Linked DNA regions of Oryctolagus cuniculus. The protein of the gene in region 2 purifies or fractionates together with the protein of the main gene of each other region. This does not show direct contact. Links are inferred from orthologs where the notes say so. Each region holds a gene or a part of one and is shown on either strand. Other genes may lie near its edges.

Region 1 (4,219 bases), on a different chromosome or scaffold from region 2:
CCTAGCCCAGCCCTGGCTGTTGCAAGCATCCGGGGAGTGGACCAGCAGATGGAGGCTATCTCTCTGTCCCTCTGCCTTTCAAACAAAAACTAAATAATTTCTTCTTAAAGTTCAGGCGGGTGGTTAACTAAAAAAAAAAAAGGACACATCAGACTAAAACCTTGATTGCTTTGGGAATCGAGGAAGGAAGACAACAGACCTCCTATAAGGAGAAAATATGGGCGGGCCAGAAGGCAATAGGACCAAAATCAATCATCTAAGATCAATGGAAAGATGATGGAGTTTCAGGAGGTAGAAATGCCACGTGCTTCAGCAGACCCTGTAGGATTAAGGTTTAGAGAGTGGCATCAGTGAGTTTTTCAAAGAATCAGAGGAGGAAGAGGAGAACCATGACTGAGATTTTACAAAGCAAACAAGGGTCAATATTGCTCTACGTATTTGGAGTAAGCCCATTGAAATTTGGGCCGACTATGGACTAAAATTCTGCTTTCCTCACTCCTAAGATGAGACTTGCACTAAAGGATGAGCTTTGGTAGCTTCTTTCCCAGAGTCAAACAGGAGGCTGTCCTGAGTCCCAGATCTTGAACTTGATCTCTGCTCAAGGTAGTGTACCTCCTTCCACATACTGAGCTATTCAAGGGTGACCTGTCGCCAAGGCGTGTCCCTGGTACTGTTGGAGGTAGGTAGATATTATCTCCCCATTTCACAGACTTGAGAAAAGTCAAGAAATCCCTGTGTGAGGTTACACAGGTCAGAAGTCCACAGTCCAGCAGGCCACTGATGACGGAGCTCCGGGGACTCTACTTACCCATTCTTGGGTGCTTTGGGGGAGGGAGTCAATCAAAGAATGTTGCCTTGCCTCCTTGGGTGAAACATTACTGTTTTCCTGAAGATCAGAAGCCAGGAGCCAAAGAAAGCATCTCACTGACACGGATGCAGGCGATCCCACCAGGGCTTTGGAATCCTTGGAACATTAGGGTTTCCTCTGGGAAACCACGGGGAGAAGGAGTTTGGAGAAAAGACATCTGGACGCATCCGGAAGGGGAGCTCTCCGGTCTCTGCCTCTGCTCTCGGGTTTCCAGCTTCCAAGTTTGTTTACTGGGCCACACAACTCCAGGCGGGGTGAGGCTGGGTGAGCCGGTCGGGCCCACCCCTCACGGTACCCGCAGGGGCCCAGGGGCAGGCGGCTCCTGATTGGGCTCTGCTCCCGGGGCTGTGCAACCCGACTCCCGGCGGCTGGAGCGGGCTTGCGTGCCTGGGAGGCATCAGAGGTCGGAGTTCCGCTCCTCCCCTTAGGAAGCGCCTCCGCCAGGGACGAATGGACTAAAAACGTGTCTGGTTGGGAAAGTAAATAGACGCAAGCCAAATAAAAATAAAAATGCCCGCAAGCAATCACAGGGAGGAAGTGACATTTTGCTGGAAGTCACTTTTCTGATGGACCACAGGCCTGCTGCGCTGAGCGCGCCGTGGGAATGCTTCCGGGAGGGGGGGGCGCGGTCTCCTCTCCAACTCGCGCGTGGCGGTAAGAGAATTAAACAAACAACAAAAAGAGCACGCGAAGCCCACCCGGCCGGCCTCCGGGGCTGGAAGTTAATGCCTGCATTTTTACGGTCGTCCCCACCCCGCCCCCGCAAGTGCGGGCGCGGGGACCTAGCCTAGCGCTCGGCGCCCCGCAGGGCCCCGCGGCGCCCCGCAGCGCAGCGTTCTCCAGCCCCGGGCTAAGCCGGGCGCGTTCCGGGGCCGGGCCGCGGAGCTCGGCGGAGCCCGGGGGCGCCCCCAGGTGGGTGTCGGGCCCCCGCCCCGTGCGCGCGCGGGGCCTGGGCCGGCCCCTGGGCGGCGTCACGGCGCGGCCGGGGAGGAGCGCGGGCGGACGAGGAAGAGAGCGGAGGAGGCGGGCGTTGCGCGCCGGGGGAGGGTCGCCGCCGCCGCCGCCTCCGCCGCCGCCTCCGGGAGCTTCAGGCCGGAGCCGCGCGGCCGAACGGGCGGCGAGCGGCGGGGAGGCTCGCGGCGCCCAGGCCGGCGGGGTCCGCCCGGCGGCAAGACGCGGGAGCGGCGCAGACAAAGAGCGGCGCTTGGGCGGGCGCAGCGCGGCCGCCGCCGCCCCGGGACCCGCGCCGCTGCCCTCCGGCCTCGGTGGGCGGCCCGTGGCGAGGTAAGTGTGTGCGCCGCAAACTTGGGGGCCCATTCGGCGGAGTTGGAAGCGCGGCGGGGCCCGCGGGCCGGGACGCGCCCAGGGAGGGGCTGGGGGAGTGGGGCCCCTCCGCGCTCCGCCGGTGCCCTCGCCCCCGCTGCGGCCTGGGCGCCCTCCCCACCGGCTGTGGACTGCTCGGCACCTCCAGGCTCCGCACCTTCCTGCCCGCCTTCCGGGCCCCCCACCCTACCCCCAGAGGCCGGCTTGGGGGCAGGGGCGCCCTCCAAGGGCGCGCGGGCGAGGAGCTGGGCAGGGGCCGGGCGGCGGGGCCCGGGGACTGGACACCTCCGGTGCGCAGGGAGTGCCCGGCCTGCGGGACGGACGGCGGCAGGCACGGGGCCGGGGCCGGGGTCGGCGTGGGACCGAGCGGCGGCCGCGGTCGCCGGGGGAGGAATCTCCGGGTCGCAGGGACGCGGGGGGTCACGATGCACCCGGAGAACTTAACTGTGTGTTGATTGCAACTATTTCTGATCCCACACAAAGCTGCTGTCACGTCGCGTAAGGGAGGGTCGACGGCCCGGCGCTGGGCGCTTTTGTGCGGGTTTCAGGGTCTGCGCCCTGCCGCGGATTTTCAGGGCACCCTTGGAGCCAGCCACTTGTACCAAAGTTTCTCCCGGTCGCTCTGCGTTCCGGGCGATGGAACCGCCAGGGGGTCCTGGAAAAACGTCCTGTGTGACTCTGAAAGCATCCACGACGGCTGCCGCGTGGGCGCCGTGTGGGCTTCGCATTGTGTGGGATAACGCTGTACTTTGTGGACAATGCCGATCGCCTGGGACCGGCTGTGGGCGGAGGCTGGGGGGTCACTGGCTGGTGGCCAGCAGGCACCTGGCTAAGTCAGCCTCCTCAGGACAAAGCAGGGGCGGGGGTGGCAGTGCCTCCCTTATTTGGCCAACAGGTTTGAGGCTTTGTGCCAAGTTTGCATGGGCATCATGGGGTGAGTGGGCCCCAGTCGCGTCCGGAAGGGCCTACACCATTACCCAGGCCTGCTCCTTGCACTGACCCAGGGAGAGACCGAACCCAGGGGGAGGGGCTGGTGGGCGTGGCTTTCTGGGGACCCACAGGTAGGGAGTCCCTTCCTGGCCCGCCCCAGTCCTGGCAGTTCGGGAAGGGTTTTTGTGTAGCCGTGAGAACCAATCGGGGGCTGTGTTTCCTGCTGCTGTTTTTGATTAAGTTACCTACAGAGTTATTTTTTTCCCCCAAGTCTTGAAAGTGGCGGAAAATGAAATTAACCCGGGCTGCCTTAACTTATCAAACCAGATCTGAGCTGTGCCTCAGAACACGCCCTTAGTGCACTCACCACCTGTGCCCAGATAAAGGCTCCCAGCGTGTGTGTGGTTTATGTGAAGAGTGGCAGGCAGAGAGCACCGGGGCCGAGGTCCAGGAGGGGGGGTGCAGGTGCATGGATGTTCGCAGGAGGGCTTTCCTGAGGAGGGGCGGTCTCCCCGCTTGAGAAGAAGTGACCACAGGGGCAGGTCCTGCCTGAGTAGCTCTCTCCTTGACACGAGGAGAGTGGCAGGGTCTTGGTGGCCTTGTGGTGGCCACCGGAGGGTGAGATGGCAGCTTTAGGCAGTGCTGGGTTTGCTCCTCTGGGTTCAGGGAGTCTCAGCTGCTGTGTAAACACTGCCAGCGGTCCTGACAGGCGGGTGAAACTGACTTGGCAAAATTGGCTGCATTGTAATCTTCTTGGCCCAGTTGAGAGAAACTGACCCTTTGTAAATAGAGGCATGGGTGGAAGGTGCATTTCCAGTAGCTTGGTCAGTTTTCAGGCTTTGAGTAACATGCTGGGGACTTAAACCTTCATTGCAGGCTGTTGGACCCTTGTCATGTTCTCAACCTCTGCCATTTACATTGGGTGTAATCGTGCTTTTCCAGCCAACAGCGGATCTTAATGTACACAGCACTTGAGAAATGTACTATCATCCATAGCAAACACACAGGAGATCTTCCTTGCACATGCAGGGACCGAGTAACCTTTTCCAATACCCCAAGCCTGCGTGATTGCACAGAATGACCTGAGGGCCTTTTGTT
Region 2 (3,714 bases):
CAAAAAAATAAAAAATAAATAAGAAATAAAATAACTATGAAGTGGGAAAATGATTTCATAAATTTGGGAAGATATGTTTAATACACTTGGCAGGAGAGCAGAATTAAAAGCATATTTTCACAAGTTGAGGTGCTGAGTCCTGAACCAGAGGTCAGCTTGCTGTTTCTTGGATAAGACCAGATAGTATTTTAGACTCTGTTGGCTGTATGGTCTGTCACAACTGCTGTGCCTGCACTTGTAGCACAAAAGCAGGCACAGACAGTATGTTAGATGTGGCCATGCTGCAAGGAAGCTTTAGTTAAAAACAAGAAGGCAGCAGCTTGGATATGTGTATTGAGTTGTTCATTTGCTGACCTGTAGTATAAATCAAAACTGGAGATTTAGTAGGGTTAGATTTAAAATCTTTTTGTCACTTTTATAATCACAAGGTGAATGAATCCTGGATTAATTGCATTTCAGTTGAGTGTATGATAACAGTTTATGACAAGGCTGGTTTTTTTGTTTTATATTTATTTTATTTATTTGAAAGAGTTACAGAGAGAGGTAGAGACAGAGAGGGAGGTCTTTCATCTAATGGTTCACTCCCCAAATGGCTGCAATGGTCGGAGCTGGGCCAATCAGAAGCCAGGAACCAGGAGCTTCTTCTGGGTCTCCTATGTGCTTGCAGGGGTCCAAGGGCTTGGGGCATCCTCTGTTGTTTTCCCAGGTGCATTAGCAGGGAGCTGGATCAGAAGTGGATCACCCATCCTCGAACCGGTACCCATATGGGATTCTGGTGCTGCAGCCTGAGGCTTTAACCTGCTGCACCACAGTGCTGACCCCAACATGACTGTTCTTAAAGCCATTTTTACTTACCTGTAAGCTAATTTAACTTTAGCCTAATATGTGCCAAATTGTATACTTTCCAATTAGACAGCTTTGGTTGTTACCTGGTTTACTGAATAAAAGTTAGCTTTGCCTAATAGTTACTTTGAAAATGGTACTTCCCCTATGATGGACACTTTGTAGATATAGGAGCAAATGGATTAAAATATCTTATAAATCCCTGAACCCTGAGATCTTTCTTAAAAAGATTGGTAGAACCTTTTGATTTCTTTCGTCTAATTAAACTGAAATTTGGCCCTAATATCACGCCAGTGATTTAGTCACATTGTTGGCCACTGATTGACCTATATTGAAGGATACAGGAATTAAGACTTTTCATGAAAATAGTTGGCTTTGGCATATTATAGTACAATTGGCATAAAATTTCAAAATTCAATTATATGTTGAGTATAGTATACTCATGTGCTACTCTGTCTCTTTTCTCCGTAGTTGTTGCAATATATGATTATACAAAAGACAAGGATGATGAGCTGTCCTTCATGGAGGGTGCAATCATTTATGTTATAAAGAAGAATGATGATGGCTGGTATGAAGGAGTCTGCAATCGAGTGACTGGTCTCTTCCCTGGGAACTATGTTGAATCAATCATGCACTATACTGATTAGATTTTTGCTTTTAAAGTAGGATCTTATTACTCAGTCATACTGTGGGACTATTACGGTTAACAGAATTGTCTTAATATGTTTTAAAATGTGCCCATATTTTCAGGACATGCTGTTTTATTGGTATAATTGAATGTCTACCTATAAGCATAAATCATTGAGGCAGTTTGTATATTGCTAAACAGCAATTTATACAAGAGGCTGTCCCTGATTATGCTTATGTACTTACTTACACAATGTTAACTTTATGACCAGCCTAAATATTCTGGGGAAGCGGGGTATAATATTTAATGAATTATATGATTCAGATTGTATCATTACATGTTTCAGTGAGCATGGTTACTAATGCTATGTCAAACTAATATTAAAATCAGAAAACTTAAATGCTGGTGCTGGTCATACTTTTTTGTTTAGATTCTCTCATTTAAAAAAATACTGTTTAAAGCATGCATAAAAATTTATGTGTTGAAATATACTGAAAAATTCCAAGATGCTTCCAATTTGTGTGCTATTTCCCTGGAGTATTCACACTTAGGTCTCCTGAAATGAATTGAGTCTCTAAGTTCCCCATGCAAAACAAACAAAAGGCTAATCTGTAATGTTATAATTTGTACCTAAGTTTTTTAATGAATGAAATTTGAATTATAAATTTTTTCCATTCATAAATATATAAGTGAACCAAAGGTCTTTGTCCTTTCCTTCACTGGTTTGCTTTAAAAAAAAAAAAAAGAGAGAGAGAGAGAGAGATACTGATTTATTATAGAATTATGGTTCTATTTTCTCAATATATTAACTTGGAAAAAAATTTTAGCCTTAATCTGTCCCAACAGCAATGTGATGGATTTTTTGCAGATTTAAAAATCTGAGATGGTTATTTACAAGTCAATCTACTGAATTCCTTTTTGAAAGTAACTAACTTTTGAAGCTACGAAAATGTGTCAAAGTGTACACATTTATTCTGTAAGTAAAATTTTTAAGGATTGCCATACCTGTCCTTTACTTTTACAGTGGACTATTGTACACTGGTTTGATGAAAGGAAATTATAAGTATCTTTTACATATTGTAAAAGTAAGTGCGATTGATTTGTGAATAGGCACTATTTAATCCATTACCTGGCACTAGCAACATAAGATTTTAAAATACAATAATTTGGAAAGAAGGTGAGTCATGTATTATTCAGTGAACAGAGATATACTTAACCAACAGATTTGTATTGTCTTTTGACATAATTGAAATGCAACACATGCACTTTGTGTGTCTCCTCTTAATTTAAGGGAGGGTTAGAGGGATGTCTTCTCTTATCTTGTGTATAATTCTGTATTGCTTAGGATATTAAAGTAGAGCACTCAAGTGTGGGTTTCTGTGTATTGAGGATTTGTTTGAGTTTCAAATTACAGTTATGTATTGGGCGTTACAGACTTCTAACAGCATAGTGAATGGTAAGACTAGTGCAAAACATTTATTTCTGACAATTAAAGACCATTATTGCTACCAAATCAATGTGACTGTTTCATATACATTTTGCCTTTGTTAATTTCAAACCAAGTGTCATTAGTGATCAGCTAGCTACCTTCTATTCCTTTTTTAAGTGGAATGTTCTCTTAATTTGTATATAACCTGTTGTCTAAATTTTATGTACAGTCTTTTATAATAAACCATTCTCCTATGAGTTTTTCGATACTGTTAAAATACAAATAATGTGGATGTAAGTGCACACTTCACAATTTTCTGATCTTTACTCCTATGGTGAAATAATAGAAACCATTTGAATTTTAACATTGATTATTTATTTGTGTAATGGCTTTACATGTGGATATTAACAGTGTAAACAATACCACATAGAACCATCAAGATACCTCAATTAGAATTTATAAGACTGCAATGACAGATTCAGATGATTTAAGTACATTGAAAAAGTTTTCTGAAAAACTTTGCCAATAAAAAAAAAACCTGCCCATTAATAAGGTTGAAATTGTTTTTTAAAATGATTTTTGGTTATCTGCACATGAAGCAAACAACTTTAGGCACAGTCTGGTAAAGTAGCTGCCAGAAAGAACAGAAGTTGTTGTTATTTATCTCTCGTGAGTACAATTTCCGAGAGCTGAATGAGGGCATCTCTTTCTGGGGATGGTCGCAGTTTGCTGATCTCTCTGATGGCTTCATGGCAGTACCGCTGGGCGAGGTAGGTTGTCTGTTGCACACCATCACTCTACAGAAGTGGAACAA
Region 3 (4,222 bases), on a different chromosome or scaffold from region 2:
CAAAACAAAGCCGGGCCACTGTTCACTTCGTACCCCAGCTTGTACAGTTCTGGTCTAGTTTCATTCCTGTTCTGAGATTACACCGGCTTCGTCCAAGCCTTGTCCCAATCCACCCCGCTTCCCACCTGCTTTCTGACAGCGGGGGGCGAGGGCAGGGGTTCTGGGGGCTCTAGAGGGCTGCTCCGCAGATGCAATCCAAGCGTTAGAGACTGGCCTCTCGGCGCCGAGAAAGAGGCAAAACGTGGCCGAACAGCGGCCGGCGGCGACTTTGGAGCTGGAGCCCATTCCCGCACCGCAGCGGTGGCCGCAGCACTTACCTTAACTGCCACCTCCGGAGCCGAGTCCACCGCCACTGCCAGCGAGGGCTTGGCCGAAGGCGATTTAGTCAGATGCATGAGAGACTCGGCGGCTGGCAGCGGACATCGGCCGCCTTCACTGTCCGAGTCGGATTCGGACCCCGAACCCGAACCGTAGGAAGCGGCCAGAGCTGCAATAGCAGCCGACATGACGGCAAACTGATCCTCTGCGGACACCAGGCCCGGGCGGAAGGAGAAGCGGCTTCCAGGTCCTGACAGACAGCCGTGAAACACATTATTTACTTCCTTGGCTAAGAAATCATTTGTAACATTTTGAAAAAAAAAACAGACCAATTATTATTTGAATAGTTTCTATAGGATTAAGAGGTTGGAAACATTTACCTAAGGAACCAGTTTTAACAGCTGGTCACTTTCAGGACCTGGAGGACTAGATTAAAAACTACGAGTTCAGAAATACCTGGAGGCCTTGCGGCCACACACTCCCGGCGTGCAGCGCGGCGGGAAGTGCGCGCAGGCACCATGGGAAATGTAGTTTAGGGCGAGAAGGCGGGGCTGGCGGGCAGGTCTCTCCTCGACCCCGCCCCTGGATGGATGGTTCATTCAATTGGCTATCATCTTCCCTCATTCCCTCGCCAAGCTGGGTTCTCTCCGTCCCCCTCCCCCAAACTGAGGTTTGGGTAATACCACAGAGCCTCCGGAAAGGGGGGAAACGTGGTCTTCACCCCCACGGATGGGCGAGTGGGCGGAGGCTCGGTTTCCCATCACCGCAGCGCCTGGGCACTGGGGGCTGAAGAGGAGAGTGAGAATCTTGAGTTTGAAGACCTGTCACTGACCAGGAATAGCTCCTGGGTGGAAGGCTGGGAAATTGGGAGCAGAGAGTCCCGCGGTCCCCCCTGCCTCTGGCGCGGGTCCCCGCGCCCGGTTGTGGAGCGTCGCGCGCGGGGAGGGGGCGGGTGAGGCAGCGGCGGCTCGCGGTGTTGTTCGCTCGCGCGTCGAGCGCAGTGTGGGTCCGGCGAGCGGCGGGCGCCCCGGGCGGCGTTCCCCGCGGCCCGGCGCCTCAGCCGCTGCCCCGAGCGGGTCCCACCCCCGGAGCCTGCCCTTCCTGGGGGCTCTCGGTGGAGTCCCGGGAGCTGAGCGGGACCGGCGGCCGCCGCCGAAGCATGCAGAAGGGGTAAGGCACGAGCCCCTAGGTTTCACGGTGAGCGCGGCTCTCTCAGGGATTGTTTCCTCGGGGGAGGGGGCCGGGGAGAGGAACTCGGTCTCAGCGGCCGGAGCTGGAGCCGGGAGGCGTGTGCGTGGCTCTCCTGCCCGCAGAGGCGGCGGGGGTGGGTGGGCTCGCCTCCCCCGCCCCCATTCGCGGGTCTCCCGAGCTCCCGCCTCCCCGCCGCCGGCCCGGCTGGTGCTGCGGGGAGGCGGCGGTGGGCGCGCCGGGGTCTGCGCTGCGGGGACCGCCCTGAGGCGGCTCGGGGCGGGGACTCTGCGGGTCTCACCTGAAGTGCCGCCGCCTGGGCTCCCCAGCCCGCCCGCACCCTCGGCCTCTCGCCCGGGAGCCGGCTGCAGCCTCGGGTGGCCGAGAAGCCCCGGGCGGCTCTGCGTGCCCGAGGCTCGGTGCAGCCCGCTGGCGCGTTTGCGTGTTTGCGCCGCACGTCGGTGTCTGAAGCTATAACGGTAAAGCGGGTGCGGGCGTGCGGGTTTTCCTTTGAAGAGGAGGCGAAGCGATGCGGTCGCCCCCGCTGCCTACTCGTGGGGGGTGGGGAGGGGGCGTTGGGCAGAGTTAGGGAGCCGCTTGCTGGGCTGTGATGTCGGCGGGACTCGCCCATTGTGCCACCCAGATAATTATTCAACTATGCAGCATCCATTGCACCTTTGGCGTTGTTCTCCCCTGGCTGCAGCGTGCCCCCTAGCTTCCGTACTCTGACACCTTCTGCACTCGCGGGGCCTGAGCTGGAATAGTGATGACAGCACATCCGACCCGAGCCTCGGCGACCTGTTCTGTAGACGGTTGATCAATTAAGCCCCAGCTAGAGTACGTACTTCAGCAGGGCTCACTGTGGTTCCTTTTTTGTAAAAGATACGCCTTGCATTCTGAATGCTCTGTGTTTTTTTTTTTTTTAATTTTATTTTTGGTGGTAGCTAAATCTTGTTCCTGTTCTGTAATAGATGTGATGGATGTATTGCTGATTCAACCCCTCTCCTGTTCTTTCCTGTGAGTCGTAGGGAACTTTGATTGGTCTAGTTGTTGATAGCGCTATGTCTACACATGTAGTCTCAATCTGAACTCTACGGGAGCAATTTATCCTTTTGCTCTTAAGCTTCTGTTGGGAAAAGTTTTTATTTGTATTGAATATTTTAATAAAGTATTTGAATAAAACATCTCAAGTTTTGAATGAGAAAACTTTGGTATTTAATTTCACCAGTAGAATATTTGAATATTTGATTGCTAACCATAGCCTACAGTGGAATGAATGATGGGGTTTTTAATCGTACCCTAACTTAGCTGAATTTTATTTTTTATTCAGTTGTTTTCTTTGTAATATCATGTATTTACTTGCAGATCTTTTTCTTATGTTTCTAACTTCTGTCTACAAGGATAGCTATGTTCCAGTTTTACATGCTGTACCTGAAGGATGACATTTTTTTGCAAATATTACAAGCAACTGTTGGGTACTTGATGCTTACAAATTATTGTTTAAAAATAAATAATTCACTACCCCAAATAAGTGTTTTCCTTTGATTTTTGTAATCTTCCCTTTCCATTTTTCCTTTTTTAGGCTTCTTGCATTAACTCTTTTGATGAAACAGAATTGCAGATAGGCATTGCAAAGGCAATTTGAAAAGTACAGGACTTGTTTTCTGGCACTTGGAAGTGGCACACGTATGTTCATGCTGTAGGATCAGTTGCTTCCTTGAGAAATGACCTTGCAATTTACAAAATGGATACCTTTGTGCCTTGGTTTCCTTATGTGTAATGGAGATAATACTCATTTACTCCACTAGGTTGTATGTGTGGATCAGTAAGTATGCTTCATAATGCTTTTAAAGGAATTTAAATACTTTAGCTGATAAATTGACACTTTCAGTGAAAACTACAATGAAAAAATGTAATATGGATTTTCGCTGCCATGTTAGAATGACTGATTCACGTTGATTTTAATTTGGAGCAATACTTAGAGTGATACTTCTAAATTGAAGAAAGCTTTTCATCTATCAGTTGTTTTTAATTGCAGACATTAGGTATTATAGTAAATAAGTATAGTTATAAATAATAGGCATAAATAATACTGATAAAAATTATGTGACTTGATAATGAACAAGTATAATATTGAATTAAGTTTGTGAAAAATTAAGCTATCTGGAAATATTAAGGCCTTTTTCATTAAAAAAATTTGTAGGTGACACATTCCAAAATCTACAGTTGTAATCATTTGGAAGGTATAAACTGGAGCTACTTTGTTTATTATTTGGGGTTATAAACATTGATATATATATATATCCAGAGGCAATTTGTTAATATTGCATAAGACTATATTTAATTTTATATTTTGCTTTATTTTAGAAATAATTTAAGGTATCTTTTCCATGTGCTCAATTTTTGTTATCACAGTACATCATTTTTTGATTTCCTTCTGAAAGATTAACTCAGTCAATTTCCATAGCAAAAACTATTAAAAGATCGTATTATTAGAACTTTTAACAAAACAGTAATTAACATTTATTTTGTGGGAAAACTTCATGTGAATGATAAAACTACTGAAGTGTCTTTAAAATTAAAACTATTTTATAGTTCCTTTGGGGAGAATTAATTTGATTACATTTATGTTTTCTTAAATGACAGATAAAATTTAGCTTTCAGTAACATTGGAGTAAATGCAGTTAATTCAGAATTTTTCTAAGTTGTTTAAGGA
Region 4 (3,342 bases), on a different chromosome or scaffold from region 2:
CCATGTGCAATAGGGAGGGCCGTCTTCTATTTTTGCTGCCCCCTCCCCGCTCTCGCCTGGGGCAGGGGGAGAAGGTATTTTCGAGACAAAGCACAGGCACCACAAATAAAAGTCGTGAAGTTGCCACTCAGACTGCACAGGTGCGGGGGCGGGGCCAAGGCCACAGGCCACGCCCACAGGGTCCCAGGCCGGGGAGGGGAGGGCCTACGGGGCCAGTTTCAGGCTGGGGAGACTTGGGGTGACACGTGGCAGGCCGCTCCAGCCCCACTGGTGGCAGTGAGGGGGCTGGGCAGGAGCTGTGTCTCGATGGCATTTGTTCATTCATTCACTGATTCATCATGGCTGGGCCTGGCCTCCTGGACAGGTTCTGGCTGCCTGCTGGTCTCCCAGGAGAGGACCATGGGGGAGGCGCAGTCCAGCTGTAGCGCTGGGGGGGAGGGGGAGGGGGGAGGGGAGGCTCTGGAGGGGAGCGCCCTGGGCAGGTGAGGCGGGTGCTGGCGGCGGCGGATGTGAAACGAGACCACGGACGGTTTCAGCGCTGTATTGAGCGGATGGGGCAGGGGGTGGGGGACGGGGCACCGCCGTGGAGGTGGTGAGAGGGGTCGGGTCTGGAACTGCAGCCGTGGCCAGCCGCCAGGGTGCAGGCCGAGACCACGGGCATTCCCGTGTGCAGCCCGGGTAGTGGAGGTTTCTGGTTCCTGTGTTGAGAACGAGGGGTGGGAGAGCAGCCGGCCCTTCCCTGGAGTCCCCAGGCGGGGGCTTGCCTGTTTACCCCGAGGGCCCTGGGGACCAGGAAGTCTTTGGAGGCATAAGGCCTGGTTCCTGAGGGTGGGCAGGGGCACCCCTGGGGGCGGAGCTGTGCCTGCCCGGACTCAGCCTGAGGGGTGGGGCTGCGAGGGCAGGTGCCCCAGCTGGCACCCTCGCAGCCCCAGGGGATACGTGGGGGGCTTGCGGGAGGGAGGAGGGGCTTCGTGGATTTCTAGCCGGGGCGGCTCACAAAGGGAGCAGCAGGTGCCGGCAGAGCAGCCTGGGGCTGGGCGGGAGAGGTGGGTGGGGGGCTTCACGGGGAAGGGAAGGGAAGCCCCGGGCTGGAGGACACTGCTGGCCGGCTCAGGGGGCCCCGCAGCGTGGAGGAGGCGGCAGGGGAGACCACAGCGGCCCCCTCCGAGAGGGCGGGCAGGGGGCAAAGACGTCGCGCCGCCGCCGAGGAGCTGTCCATAGCGCGCCCTGTCACTCCCACCCGCGCGAGGGCGCGGCGGCCAGGACTGTCCGTCCGGTCTGCCCCCAGGGTGGGGAGGCCCGGGCCTCCGACCTTCGACAGGGATCCTGCAGTCCGCGCTCCCCGGGCTTGCGTGGTCACCTCTCGCAGCGCGGGCTGAGAAAGCTCAAATGACCTCCGAGTCCACCTCGCCATCCACCTTCTTTTTTTGCTTCTGCATCACTGCTTCCAGCTCCGACGGCTTCGCCCTGTCCTGAAGGGGGGACGGCGGTCAGCCCGCCGGGTCCGGCCCCGTGCGGTCGGGCGGGGGGGCGAGGAGCAGCCCGGGCTCACCTCGAGCAGCGCGCGCTGCACCGTGACCTGGCTGTACACGCGCACCCCCTCCTCGGGGCTCGCGGCCCGCAGCTCCTCCTTCTGCAGCGAGAAAAGCTGCGCGCCGGTCAGCGTCCCCAGCGCTTCCACGGTCCTGGGCGAGGGCGGCAGGGAGGGGGTGCTCAGGCCTGTCCGCGGGTCCGCGCTCCAGAGCGCCCGCCCTCCAGGGAGTAGGGCCGCATCCCGCTGTGGGGGCGGGGCTTTCCGGGGCCCCAGCCAGTGGCTGGGACAGCATGCCAATCAGTTTTGGGCAAATCCCAGCCCTGCGGTGACTGTCCCACTCACCCCGCGCTGAAGCCCTTGGCCTGCAACCAGGCGCGGACCTCGGCGGCGTCCGACCGCGGGCTGAGCTGCTGCTCGGCGGCGCGGGGCCCCGGGGCGGTGCGGCTGGGGCCCGGGCGGCCCTGGGCCAGGCGCGCCTGCAGCTCCTCGTGGACGCTGAGCATCTGGGAGAACCTCTCTGCGGGCGGGAGGCGCGCGCGCTCAGGCCCGGCGGGTGCTCAGGCCAGGGGGCTCCCCGGGGGAGGTGTCCACTCACCCTTCTCGCTGGCGTCCAAGTTGTCCAGGCTGTCGCAGCTGTTCCAGCGCGGGCGGGCAGGAGCCGGGGCCCGCGGGGCGGGGGGCGCGCTGTCCTGTGGGGGCCAATCTTGAGTCCTGGCCCTCACACCTCCCACCCACCCATACCCCAGACCTCCGAGCTGCAGACCCCCAGGCCCTGCCTGGCTCACCAGGGGCGGGGCCGGGGGCTGGCCGCTGTCCCCGCCCGGCCCGGGGTGGGGGGTCAGGATGTTATAAGGCACGTATCCCTCCTGCCCCCGGGGGTCCCGGACCTTCCACCACTTGCGCCGGTCATCCAGGACCTGGATGTGGAGTGGAGCGGGCTGAGAGGCGGGGTCTGCGGTGGGGGCTGGCCGGCTGCGGCCCCTCCCCCTCCCCGCCCGGCTGACCTGGAGCACGTCCCCCTGCTGGATGGACAGCTCGCTGCCATTGCGGGCCTGGAAGTCGTAGGCACACAGGACCCACCGCCCCGCGGGCTCGGCTTCCTGCTCGGGATCCTGGTGGCTGGGGTGGGGGGAGGGGAAGTGGCAGGTGAGGGGTGGGGCGGCCCGGCTGCTGTCCCTGCAGCTGGGGCGGCTTCTGTGAGCTGGGGTTACGGCGGAGCGGGCGGAGCGGGGGCCGGGTTAATAGTGTTAACAGGGTCTGAGATCTGAGCAGCACCACCGCGCCTGCGAGGAGAAGACATGGCCACTTCCCCTTGGAGAGAGGAGGAAGGCCCCTGCCCCAGAGTGGAGAGGGAGAGAGAGGGAGAGAGGCCGTGTGCAGGGCTGGGCCGGGAGGCGGGTGTGCCTGTGCCCTGACTGCTCCCCGTGAGGGCTGCTGCAGAGCCCTGAGCTCCGAGGCTCCCCACCCCGCCCCCCAAAGACCCCCGCCCGTCTCCATTCCTGCAGCCTGGGGAGCCGAGGGAGGGGGACAGGGACAGGCTTGGCCACACCGGGCCCCAGGCAGCCTGAGCAGGGAGCTGCTCCCACCGCAGGCCACTGGGCCGAGCAGAAGCCGGGAGCCTGGCGCCCAGTGTCGGGGAGCGCAGAGGAGCAGGCTGGGCCTTCCACGGCACCAGGCAGCAGGCCAAAGCCCTGCCCCCAACAAGAGGGACCTCAGCCCGGTCAGGCCTACCTGCGCAGGAGAGAGGGGGGGTCTTCAGGGCCGCGGCGCCCCCTGTGTGGGGCCGGCAGCTCCCTGCACGCTGTCCC
Region 5 (3,714 bases), on a different chromosome or scaffold from region 2:
TGAAGCCTTTCCACATGACCTCTACTGTCATAGAAAATAAGCATGGAGGTAATTTTGGAATTGCTCCTGTTTCAGTTTTCTAATTATCTGAAGCATGCATAGCTAAAATTAAACAGTTTTGTTTTGGTAAGTGGTTTTAGGAGACTGCATACTAGAAGCTGTTATAGAATGAATTGCTGCGGCCAGTCTGTAGTGTCAGCTTCCTCAGTTTTGGAACTGACGTGTAAGTTGTTCAGCATGTAAATCACCATAAAAGAGTAAGGTGGGGTTGGGGAGGTTATTTTTAGAGAATGCTATTGAAGCTGTTAAGACTTTGTTTTTATGTCATGTTTAATTCAGCTTGGCTCAATATGAAATAGACATGGATATCTTATGAGTTAAGACATCGTTTTCTTTATTCAACCTGCTTGACCTCATTCTCTTGATAAAATAATCATGAAGTTCTAGAGAACACTGTATTTGTCCTTCAGCTCTCTGACCCCAATTAGGTTAATTCTACTTTTGTTTGGAAAACGTGCACTAAGACATTTGTGTACATTATAAATATTTTTTTCTTTTTGCCAATTGTAAGCACTTGACTACCTTTGTTCTGGATCGCAAAGATGCTATGATAACTGTTGATGATGGAATAAGGAAGCTGAAATTGCTTGATGCCAAGGGCAAAGTGTGGACTCAAGATATGATTCTTCAAGTGGATGACAGAGCTGTGAGCCTCATTGATTTAGAGTCAAAGGCAAGTTCGTAAAATCTGTACTGTTTGATTTGTTAAAAATCTCCCTACGTACTCATATTTACAGAAAGGTCAGATTGTTTGACAATAGGCAAAAGTCTTACAAAATAAAATATTTACTTTACTTGTAGAACGAACTGGAGAATTTTCCTTTAAATACTATCCAGCACTGCCAAGCGGTGATGCACTCATGCAGCTATGATTCAATTCTTGCCCTGGTGTGCAAAGAGCCAACCCAGAACAAGCCAGATCTTCATCTTTTCCAATGTGATGAGATTAAGGTAAAAGACAGTGAATTTGTTTGTTTTTTTTTTTTTGACCTTTTAAGCAGATATTCTGGTAGCTTCCTATGATGGAGTATTCAAAAAATTCAGATAATGGGTTTCATGAAAACATTGCATAGATCTTATATTTTTTGTACCAAAATAAACATCTTTTCATCCCATTTTCTATGAATTTTGTAAAGTGCCCTCATATTTTAATCATATGTCATTGGAATACCAACTTTTTACTTTTTGAGGATTTTGTCAAGAAAACAAATATCATAGTATTTTCCCTTGGATTTCCAAGCCAAGAAAATAAAGGGGAAATTTGAGTGATACTAAAAAAAATCAGATGTATCGTTTATTTCTTAAACATGTAGATAATATTATAAATTCTTACCAAATGCCTGGACTTACAGTTGAAAATCAAATGTTAAAAAATGACACATGGACAATAAATTATCATACTACTGTCCAATTTTGTTCTGCACTAATCACCTAGTGTGGATTATTGTAATGAGGCACTAAGATAGTTCCCTTGACATTGGTATAAGGTTCATCATTTAATTATGTTACTTGAGTAATTGCTAAGAATTTGTAATCCTCAAATGATATGTGAAAATAATTGAGCACAGTTACCAGTAATAACAGGCTATCTCCTTAAAATTTTTGTTGCAAAGTACACTGTAATTTTTGAATAATTATAATTTGTGATGCTTTATTGGACCTTAGAAGTTATGTTCACCCTTGAATGTCTATTTCCTGAGTTGATTTCTTTAAAATTGAAATCACTTTCTGTTGATTGATACTTTGCCAAAGTAGTGATTTATTGTTTTGATTGTATACTATAAATATTCAGGCAACATTTATCTTACAAAAAATTTTGGGAGATTATCATAAAGAGACACTTGATCTTTTCTGTATTTGACATTAAACTATGATAGGTAAATTAGGGCTGACTGTAAACAGTATATTTTATAATTTCCTTCTAATTTAAATTTATTCCATAGATGACTTCTAATGATCTTATTTGCAAAGAATGTGACATTTAGATAATTTGTATATGTGTTATTCATCAGATTTTTGTATAGTGTAGTGACTTTTGAAAGTCAAAGTATATTAAGAATTTTGTAAGCTTTGATGTGTTGAATCGCTGAATATTAAAGTGAATATTTTGCTCTGAGAATATAGTGAATTTAATTCAAACATTTTAAAAACAAAGGACTAAGTTAAAAGACATTCATAATCTGGTGTTTGGATCCATGATATAAGAGTCCTCCTGGGAGCTAATAGTTACTATGCTGAGTAAAGTTTCTGGATTTCAGTTTTGAGAACAAGGTGCTTGCCTTATTTGACGTGGAGTGGTGATAGTGATACATTCAAATGGATTTACTGAATACTGTTTTGCTCTAACTAGAAGCTCATACACCACTAAGAACTATATTTGCTCATTTGTGCCATAGGCCACATGAGACCTTTTTTCCTTTGGCTGCTTGATTAAAAATTAAGTGCAGCGAATATGATGCAATCTCCTTTATGTGATCATCTTGCCATTTTGCTTTAGAGTGTTAATATTCATGGTACTTCACACACTGCCACAATGCTGTTGCTTACTTTTGTAGTCCTTTTTTTTCCTGAGAAATAAAATATCCTCCTGTACCCCCATGAGAAGTTCAAGGCTCCTGAGCATCTTTAGTTTTGATATCTCAGATAACAGAATGCCTTTGATGATGTGGGCAATGTCATTGAAAATAGGATGTTCCTGTGGCAGCAACACTGAACTGGGGCACCTTGACACTGCCAGTTAGCGCTAGACCTTGGCCAGGTCTACTTTATGCGTATTCCTCAGTTTCATAAATTAGAAGAGGAGAATGGATTAGATCAATGTTAGGTGTCCATTCAGTTCTCAAATTTTATGATTATCAGTGCTCACTGTAAGTGAATATATAGGATGCATGGTTGAGGAAAACATACATAATTCCAGAGAGCATTCAGACATAGCAGATGACTACATCTCAGCAATGATCTAATATCCAGTTTTAAACACTGGCTATAAATAAACTTGAAAATGAAACAGAATAAACTTTGTAGCTGTTAATCCCACATTGGTTCCAAAGTTTTGCAAGAGTTGTTTGCAGAAAGTAAATTTTTACCTGAAAAGACAAAATAAGGAGATTATCCCCAAGGAAACAACCTACTGTTGGGAACCTTCCCACGGGTACAGTAAATTTGCCATTAAAATAAGAGGGTCTCTATTGGGACCCAGCGGTTTGTTTCAGTGGGTTGATGGGTATCCAGTGGGCCCTGAGGAGGAGAAAGGAAAGGAAATTTACCCCACATGAACGTGTTTCTTCTCAGGTGGAAAGAATTAGCCAGCTTCATTTATAGCGCCTGCTTGTACTTTCAGCCTATGCTAAGTGCTTGTATGTTTGCCTTGTGGAAGGACATCTGGTTTAGAACCAAGGGGCTCTGGATCTTTAAAAATTCTTTCAGCTTCTAAATTCTGTCCTTGTAAACATCACCATTAAAAAATCTGCAAGTCACATTTTGAAAGCAATTTTGATTTTCAAAGAAGGCTTTCTTTTTTCATGAAGACACTTTACTGATTCAGACAAATAACCTAAACCCTTTCCCTGTTTTAATGGCCATATTGAAGCTTGGGAAAAAAATCTATAGTCCTCCAGGTAACTTGTCTCTCATTGCAGGCCAACCTGATTAGTG
Region 6 (3,714 bases), on a different chromosome or scaffold from region 2:
GGGCTCACCGAGTTCCTTCTGCACGTGTTGCGGTAGACCTAGCACCGTGCTCCGCCGTGGCCGCCGCCGCCGCCCTGACTTCCCGGATGACTTTGGAAATGAGTCATGAGGTCGGAAGGTGGAGCCTGGGGGCCAGTCCGGGGGAGATGAGCAGGGGTGGAGAAAAAAAAAAAAACCGTTAGAGCAGCAGGACTCAGCACACTCTGCAGAGCACCACTTTTGTGGAATAAGAAGAGTTCTGGGAAAAAAAACAATTTGCACAAATAGGTGTGTGGGCGAAGCCGGGTTAAACCAAATGGGAAGCTGCTTTTCTGTAAGACTTCTAGGATGCTGCTAAGTCAACAATGATAATTTCCACTCAGTAAACACAGGACTATGTGTCAGCCAGCAGGTGAAACACTTGGCATTCATTCCAACAAGGTAAGTACTCTTATTACTCTCCTTTTTATAGAACATTAAACAGAGGCTCAGAGAGGTTAAGGGTCTGCCCAAGGTCACACAGCTAGTACATGGCAATGCCAGGCCTCACACCCAGGCTTCCCCACTCTGAATGAACTGTCCTGCTGTACAGCCCACGTGCTGTGAATCTCCAGGAGGACACAGGAGACTGTGTTTCCTGAATTCACTGAGTCACAGAGCCTGGCGAGCCCCTGGGTTAGGAGGAAACGGGCAAGCTGACGGTGCCCACCGTCCCCTCCCCTGCCCACAAATCCCAGCTGCTGCGCAGACACCTTTGCGCTGGATCATCTCGGAGCGGATAGAAAGAGCGTCCTCTGCCGTGGAGCTCTCGGCCGTGTAGGACGTGGTCTGGCTGCAGAAGGAGATGCTGTCTTCATCCGGCCCCGCACGGGAGGACTATCGGGGGAAGAAGGCGATCAGGCCCTGGCCTGGGCGGGGCTGCCTCCAACTCTCCCCACTGGAACTCTGGCTCGTGGATCGGCCCCACCCCCAGTATAACCCAGCAGCAGCTGCAGCAACCTTGGCCTGGTCCCTCAGGACACAGGAAGGAAACAGTTCCAGAGAGGTGCGTGCACAGGTCGGGCAGGGAGGGAGGAGTCCAGCGGGACTGGGCGGGGGGCTCACCTGGATACTCTGGGTGTCTCCATGGTCCCAGCCACTTTTGTTCAGTTTCTGTTTTTCTGGAAGATACCAGAGGGTGTGTTGGGCTGGGCCTCCAACCTTGGGAGCTAAGAGAGTGCGCTGGCGGGAGGGGAGTGTTACCTTGGTGCTGCAGTGAGCGGAGCCCCTCCTGCGCTTGCGTGTGCAGCTCCTCCAGGTGGGGTGGCCGCCCACTGGGGAAGAAGACATTGTCCTGGTGTTCATCCACTGCAGACCCTGGCCCCTGGCCGGGCCCTACGCTTTGATGTTTGTCACTCTCAGCTTTGGCAGAGCCTAGTGGGATGGAGGAGGGAGGGAAGTTGAAGCTGGAAGACATCGGAGTCCCGGACATGCCACAAGGCACAGCCACAAGGGTACCCACAGTCCCCAGCCTGTGCACAGCCCCTGCGCACACGGTGATACCCACTTCCCCCTACCTGGACACACAACCCATCATTCTGGGATGTGCACCCAATATATACAGCTCCCATTGTGCACACACACAAACTGTGTCTGTAATTCAGAGCCGCACACAAGACTGCCTGGGGACATGTGCAGTCCACAGCACACACATTCCCCATCTGCAGCCCCCAAGTCCCCTTTACAGGAAAGCATACTTATAGTGAAACCTCTCAGCCTACATCCAGAAAGAAGGGAGACCAGGAAAGAGTGGGAGCTGGCAGGGGACCTACCCAGAGTCCCAGCAAAGCCTGGGGGAAGGCACCCATGGGGGTATATATAACCTTGTGGGTCCCCTACTCACCCATGTGGCTGGCCCTTAGAAGTAAGGGCAGAGAGAAGGAGGACTGGGACCCTCCACCCGCAGCCAAGGAAGCTCTGGGCTCTGCTCAGGGAACAGTCCCAGCTGCCCCCCCCACTCCCCTCCCTCCTGGAGGCCCTGGCCCTTGGTGCAGAGGAGCCAGGATCCATTACAAAGGCTCCAGTTACAAGCCCCGCCCACGGAGGGGTTGGTCATCTAATCCTGGATGTGGGGGGGCTGCGTCAGCACTTTGCAGCCTTGGCCCCCCTCTAAATGAAACCCACAACATAAGCAAAAGCGCTAGGAGGGTCATGTGACCTGGATGGCACTTTGTGCAGGAGCAGGAACAAAACAAACCCATCACAGGGCCGCGCCCCCGACACCTGCCTCTCCACCCGGGCATCCACGGGAGTCCCACCAGGGCAGAGCTGGGGTCCCCCAGGGGACCTGATGGGAACTGTTCATCCACTCCTCCTGATTTGACAAGTTGGGGAAAACAGGCTCAAGGGGGAAAGGCCCTGCCTAAGGTCACCCAGCAAACGGGAGTCAGAGCCAGGAGGACACTCTGGGCTGCCACAGGGCGCTCCAGGGTCACACACACCTGGAATCCCTGGCCGCCCCGTCTTAATCCTGGCATGGAAGCCCAGGTCTTTGGAGGAGGAGTGGGCACAGGTTCCCCCTACCCAGGCCTTTAAGTCCCCCAACTTCCTGTGGAACTACTTTCCCCACCTCTGCTCGCATCCCACAGCCCCTCTCACTGGGGAGGGGGCTGCCAGCTCTCTGAACCGGCCCCGGGCTGTGCTCAGCGAAGCGCTTCAAAGCTCAAGCCGGCTTCAAGGTCAGAGACACCTGGCTCCATCCTCCCAAGCACAAGCAGGGCCCAGACAAAGACAGCAGCAAAGCGGCCGGACAAAGCAGCACGGGAGATTCTGGCCTCGCTACCAGCCCCCAGCCCCCACCTCCATTACTCCTTCCCGGCCTTGACCCCTTTTTCTACAACAGGGTCCGGCAAAGGGACGTATAGAGGATCCCGGCTCTCACCCCGCTGCCACACCCACTCACCCTTCTTCTTAAAGAGCCCAGGAAGCGTGGGGAGGTGGCGGCCCAGGAACACCACCATGACTGCGGGCGCCGCTCGCGACCGTCCCCTCTCCCGGCCTCTCCCGAGCGCCGCGCGGCGCCTTCACCATGACCCAGCACGGAGGAAAACGCCCGAGCGCTCGCGTCCCCGCCCCGCAGCAGCAATGCCTCCAGCCGGAGGGGGAGGGGCCGCTCCAGGTCCTCCTCCCACCTTCGCCACTGATCCCGCCCACCGGCCGACCCCGCCCCTCAAGAAGGATGCAGGGTGCACGAGGGAAACTGAGGCATGGAGTCTGTGCGTTCCCCGCTCTGGTCACTCAGCTGCAGCGGGGTCCCCTAACCCTGCCACTGTGTCCTGGTCTAAATATTCCGGAGCCAGAGCTGGGGCAGGGGTCCCGGCTGCCAGATGGGAGGCGGACGGGCCGCCAGACTAGACTTGGCAAGGTGCCCGCCCCTAAGCCCTCCTGGCTGGTGAGGGTAATGCCCTGGGGACAGAGCTCAGCCAATGAGGCAGTCAGGCAGAAGCCCAGGACAGCCCTGTGGGGGTGGAGAGGCCCCTGGAGGGGCAGGGGGCTGGCCCAGGACCCAGGACCTACCCGGGAAGTCAGGGACAGGCCCAGGGCAGAATCACAGTGGCTGCTGCCAACAACCTCTCTAGCGTGTGTCCAGCCCCACACTTTCCACAGGGCTTTCTTCCCACTTTGACAATGTGACATCAGAGGCCGGGGAAGTCACACAGCACAGGCAGGACTTCCACACTGACCTCCAACACCTTC
Region 7 (3,714 bases), on a different chromosome or scaffold from region 2:
CGTTTTGGTATGGTCTCGGAGGAAATCTGGTCAAAGTTTTTTTTTTTTTTTAATTAAATGCTTTATACCTATAGCTTTTGCATGTAAAAGTGTGGTCAAAGTTGTTTTAATTGACTGCTTTATACATGTAGCTTTTTGCGTGTAGAAATATGGTACAGCCCATCAGCCATACTTGGGGACTATTTTAGGTTGTGAAATCACTAGTAACAAAGCACAAAAATGTGTGTGGCCCTAACTAGCCCACCAGAGGGAGACCCCTTGTTTAGGGTATGAGGCTGAAAAAGACATAAAGGTCATCTTGTTTGACTGTAGCTGAGACACACGTGAGCTGCAAGTCACTGAGACACGCCTGCGAGTATTGACTTGGGGATTCAGAAATGGATTTTAGCAAGTAGTTGTGCTTTGTGCGTGTAGACCTGAGTACATACGTGTTACATTCCCTTCTGGAGCACTACACAGAGAGACTGTGAAATCAAGTCAAGGGTTTGTGATGAGCATCTTCAGAGGGAACCCCATGTATTGACGTAGCTTCATGACAAATCTCATTGCGTACGTGCAGCGTATGTACGCAATTCTGTGTCCTGACTCATTGAACAGCATGCATTTCCATGCATTTCTACTGTGAATGCAGTCAGAAACGTTTGGAAGCCACTGCTCTGCCGGGGTGCTTTTGAGTGGAGCTCTGGATCACGGCCCCAAATTGGAACCCTGCATGGTTTACCAACCATGTGGCCTGAGCGCGGTGCTTATCTGAGCCCCGTTAATTTTCATGGGTACATAGTAATAACCCTATAGTGTTCCCAGGGCAGTTGGTGAAATGTGTACCAGTGCCAGACATGTGACAGTTACTGTTCCCCAGGTGGTGACGGGCTCCGGGCTGGACAGCCAGAAGTCAGACGAGGAGTACCGGGAGCTCTTTGACCTGGCCCTGCGTGGCCTGCAGCTTCTGTCCAAGTGGAGCGCCCACGTCATGGAGGTGGTAGGTGTCCTGCCCGCAGAGGACCTCACGCCAACCCATGCTGCCTTTGCGTCTGTGGGGCTCTGCCCATCCCCTGCACGCATTCTTAGCGACTTCATGTAGATACAGTTAACACACCATCCGACTCAGCCACCTAATGTGTAGGTTTATTGGTCTTCAGACCATCCACGGCATCGCATAACCACAGTGAAATTCAGGACATTGTCGTCCCTTCAGCAGTAAACCCTGTGTATCGTGACCACCCATCCCTGCAGCCCTGAGCAGTCTGCTTCCCAGCTCTCTGGCCATCCCTCTTCTGGGTGTTTCTTACAGATGGAGTCATAGAATCTGTGGTCCTTTGTATTTGATTTCTTTTTTACCCCACATTTTCTGACTCAGGAGCTAGCTTCTTTTAACTTTTGTATGTGAGAGACAGAGAAGGACCTTCTACTTACTGGCTTACTTCCCAGGTGCCTACAATGACAGGGGAAGGTGAAGTCAGGAGCTGAACTCAGTCCAGGGGTTCCATGTCAGGGGCCAGGACCCAGCTACCTGAGATGTCCCCTGCTGCCTCCGAGAGTCTGAATTAGCGAGAGCCTGAGTCAGGGTGAGAGCCAAGTATCGCACCTAGGCACTTCTCTGTGGGACTAAGCCTCTTAGCCAGTGTCTTAATCACTTGGCCAAACATCCTCCCCATACCCGGCTTCACCCATGTTGTAGCATGACTTGGTGCTTTGTTCCCCCTCATGGCTAGGTAACAGTCCATTGTGTGGGTCTATCCCCTCTCGTTGAGCCACTCATCAGTCGATGGTCATTTGGGTTGTTGCCATTCCCCCCAGTACTCCTGGAAGCTGGTGCATCCCACAGACAAGTTCTGCAACAAGGACTGTCCTGGCACGGCAGAGGAGTATGAGAGAGCCACACGTTACAATTACACCAGCGAGGAGAAGTTCGCCTTCGTGGAGGTAGGTGCTCCTTCCTTGTATCTCCTCCTTCACCCAAGACCACTGCTCACTGTGGCCCCAGGAGTGGTTCTGAGCAAGGTGACAGAATGGAGTCTCCTGAACTACTGGCCCCTTCTCCCACGTAGACCCAATCTCTTTCAAGAGTTACTACTTAGAAATGACTAGGAACCCTGCTCCAAAGAATCCAAAGGAAAATCTCCATTCCACTAGAACAGTGGGCAAAACAAAAAAGCCAACAGAAGAAACAAACAAAAAACTGGTTAAAAAAAGACATGGAAAGTGCCCAGACTAATGGGTGATCAAAGAACTACAGAGTGAAAGTAAGATTGGAGACAGTGTTTGCCAGTCAAGGTAGCAAAGATGTCAAAGTGTTGATGGCTATTGCAGATTGCAGTATGGGAAATAGACAATCTGATATTTTTGTGGCCAGGCTACACTATGGGCTTCCCCCAAGGGCAATCTGATATGTATTGATGTTTTTATAGTAGGAGAACCCTTTGGCCCAGAAGTTCTAGGAATATATCCCAGGGAAGTAAGCCAACTCTGAAGGGATATGTGTGCACACGTGTTCACCACAGTATTGTTTCTCATTCCAAAATATGTAAAGCTACTTAGATGTCTTTCAACATGGGATCAGGTACATAAAATAGAGCTGTATGGTTGAATACCGTGTAGCCGCTGAGAAGGATGAGAAGCTACCCACAGTAAATTGCTAAGTTTTGCAGATGCAGGTACATGAGGACAAATGATCCCATTTATACTAAAATTGATATACTTTTATGTATTTGCTCAAAATTGAGGGACCTACATATATATAGCAAACCATGAGCAGCAGCATTTTCCAGAGGGAGGACTGTTACTACCTTATAATGTTTTGAGTTGTGTTTTGTTGTTTGATTACACAGTAGTGTAGGAACATTCATTTCTATGAGGCTCTGAGTGGCAGAAACCCCTTTCATGAGCATTTGAAGCCCACGAGAGACGAGTAGAGACTGGGTCCTAGCCCTGACCACTGTAGGCACTTTACCTCTTTGAGACTTTGCTTCCTGTTCTGTAAAATGGGGCTAATAATCTCAACCGTTGCCCATCCCAGGGGTAGTTGTCATTGCTGCGAGTCGAACAGTAACTGTCCAGTAAAGTAATAAACATGGGCTGTCCAAGTGTCAGCGTTTAAAGCTGTTCTTGAGCAGGCTTCCAGGTTGGAGAACTTTGGGGAACTGAGGCTCAGTTTCTCTCCAGGCGGGAGAGAGATTGTGATCACCCTTGACGGTGTTCACAGTGGCCCCGTGTTCCTGCGGGGCTTCCGTTGCTAACAGTCACCTTGGAAGAAAGTGTCCCAGTTGTCACCCCTGGGAGAGATCCTCTGGGTCTCCCACACGGTTCCAGGAGGCCAAGCATTTGGGCCATCCACAGCTGCTTTCCCGGCGCATTAGCGGGGAGCTGAATCAGATGTGGAGCAGCCAGGGCTCGAGCCGGCACTCGTATGGGATGCTGGCACTGTAGCGCCAGCCCCTAAATTCACCCTCTGAAAGTGTTCGACTTGATAGTGTTTTATTTTATTCATGAAACTGTATAACCATTATCAGTGTCTAATGTTAGAAAACTTCTGTCACCTCCAAAAGAAACCCCTACTCATTAGCAGTCAGATCCCATGCCTCCCTGCCCCAGCCTCTGGCTGTCACTAATCTGCTTTCTGTCTCTGTAGATGTGGCTGTCCTGGGGATTCTATAAAAATAAATCATGCAATAAGTCATCCTTTATGACTGGTTTCTTAGACTTTGCATACGGTTT

The links.
Region 1: the proteins of ABI1 (region 2) and NCK2 purify together in Homo sapiens (affinity purification with mass spectrometry; 3 studies listed by BioGRID and IntAct, counting the BioPlex papers as one, with this or other methods). This does not show direct contact. The link is inferred for Oryctolagus cuniculus from reciprocal best matches to the Homo sapiens genes ABI1 and NCK2.
Region 3: the proteins of ABI1 (region 2) and WASF1 purify together in Homo sapiens (affinity purification with mass spectrometry; 6 studies listed by BioGRID and IntAct, with this or other methods). This does not show direct contact. The link is inferred for Oryctolagus cuniculus from reciprocal best matches to the Homo sapiens genes ABI1 and WASF1.
Region 4: the proteins of ABI1 (region 2) and EPS8L1 purify together in Homo sapiens (co-immunoprecipitation; 4 studies listed by BioGRID and IntAct, with this or other methods). This does not show direct contact. The link is inferred for Oryctolagus cuniculus from reciprocal best matches to the Homo sapiens genes ABI1 and EPS8L1.
Region 5: the proteins of ABI1 (region 2) and EPS8 purify together in Homo sapiens (affinity purification with western blotting; 4 studies listed by BioGRID, with this or other methods). This does not show direct contact. The link is inferred for Oryctolagus cuniculus from reciprocal best matches to the Homo sapiens genes ABI1 and EPS8.
Region 6: the proteins of ABI1 (region 2) and NHSL3 purify together in Homo sapiens (affinity purification with mass spectrometry; 3 studies listed by BioGRID and IntAct, with this or other methods). This does not show direct contact. The link is inferred for Oryctolagus cuniculus from reciprocal best matches to the Homo sapiens genes ABI1 and NHSL3.
Region 7: the proteins of ABI1 (region 2) and CYFIP2 purify together in Homo sapiens (co-immunoprecipitation; 4 studies listed by BioGRID and IntAct, with this or other methods). This does not show direct contact. The link is inferred for Oryctolagus cuniculus from reciprocal best matches to the Homo sapiens genes ABI1 and CYFIP2.

What each region holds. Positions count from the first base shown.
Region 1 is NC_091433.1:102,853,428-102,857,646, reverse strand, and holds the start of NCK2 (cytoplasmic protein NCK2), read left to right. Parts: upstream 1-1,231; 5' UTR 1,232-1,522; intron 1,523-1,880; exon of another isoform or gene 1,881-2,152; intron 2,153-4,219. UniProt on the Homo sapiens protein: Adapter protein which associates with tyrosine-phosphorylated growth factor receptors or their cellular substrates. Maintains low levels of EIF2S1 phosphorylation by promoting its dephosphorylation by PP1.
Region 2 is NC_091444.1:103,386,975-103,390,688, forward strand, and holds the end of ABI1 (abl interactor 1), read left to right. Parts: intron 1-1,314; coding exon 1,315-1,490; 3' UTR 1,491-3,449; downstream 3,450-3,714. Other genes in the region: all trans-polyprenyl-diphosphate synthase PDSS1, read right to left, coding at 3,557-3,697. UniProt on the Homo sapiens protein: May act in negative regulation of cell growth and transformation by interacting with nonreceptor tyrosine kinases ABL1 and/or ABL2. May play a role in regulation of EGF-induced Erk pathway activation. Involved in cytoskeletal reorganization and EGFR signaling.
Region 3 is NC_091436.1:61,320,892-61,325,113, forward strand, and holds the start of WASF1 (actin-binding protein WASF1), read left to right. Parts: upstream 1-1,350; 5' UTR 1,351-1,488; exon of another isoform or gene 1,489-1,515; intron 1,516-1,871; exon of another isoform or gene 1,872-1,985; intron 1,986-2,208; exon of another isoform or gene 2,209-2,343; intron 2,344-4,222. Other genes in the region: CDC40 (pre-mRNA-processing factor 17), read right to left, coding at 318-568, 775-838.
Region 4 is NC_091449.1:3,734,238-3,737,579, forward strand, and holds the end of EPS8L1 (epidermal growth factor receptor kinase substrate 8-like protein 1), read right to left. Parts: intron 2,654-3,342; coding exon 2,539-2,653; intron 2,452-2,538; coding exon 2,320-2,451; intron 2,224-2,319; coding exon 2,130-2,223; intron 2,052-2,129; coding exon 1,877-2,051; intron 1,686-1,876; coding exon 1,553-1,685; intron 1,473-1,552; coding exon of another isoform or gene 1,468-1,472; coding exon 1,357-1,467; 3' UTR 526-1,356; downstream 1-525. UniProt on the Homo sapiens protein: Stimulates guanine exchange activity of SOS1. May play a role in membrane ruffling and remodeling of the actin cytoskeleton.
Region 5 is NC_091440.1:113,481,542-113,485,255, reverse strand, and holds part of EPS8 (epidermal growth factor receptor kinase substrate 8), read left to right. Parts: intron 1-571; coding exon 572-733; intron 734-861; coding exon 862-1,011; intron 1,012-3,698; coding exon 3,699-3,714. UniProt on the Homo sapiens protein: Signaling adapter that controls various cellular protrusions by regulating actin cytoskeleton dynamics and architecture. Depending on its association with other signal transducers, can regulate different processes.
Region 6 is NC_091438.1:139,780,500-139,784,213, forward strand, and holds part of NHSL3 (NHS-like protein 3), read right to left. Parts: intron 3,069-3,714; exon of another isoform or gene 2,979-3,068; coding exon of another isoform or gene 2,921-2,978; intron 1,393-2,920; coding exon 1,222-1,392; intron 1,140-1,221; coding exon 1,084-1,139; intron 856-1,083; coding exon 732-855; intron 126-731; coding exon 9-125; intron 1-8. UniProt on the Homo sapiens protein: Able to directly activate the TNF-NFkappaB signaling pathway.
Region 7 is NC_091437.1:44,287,777-44,291,490, forward strand, and holds part of CYFIP2 (cytoplasmic FMR1-interacting protein 2), read left to right. Parts: intron 1-859; coding exon 860-979; intron 980-1,797; coding exon 1,798-1,923; intron 1,924-3,714. UniProt on the Homo sapiens protein: Involved in T-cell adhesion and p53/TP53-dependent induction of apoptosis. Does not bind RNA. As component of the WAVE1 complex, required for BDNF-NTRK2 endocytic trafficking and signaling from early endosomes.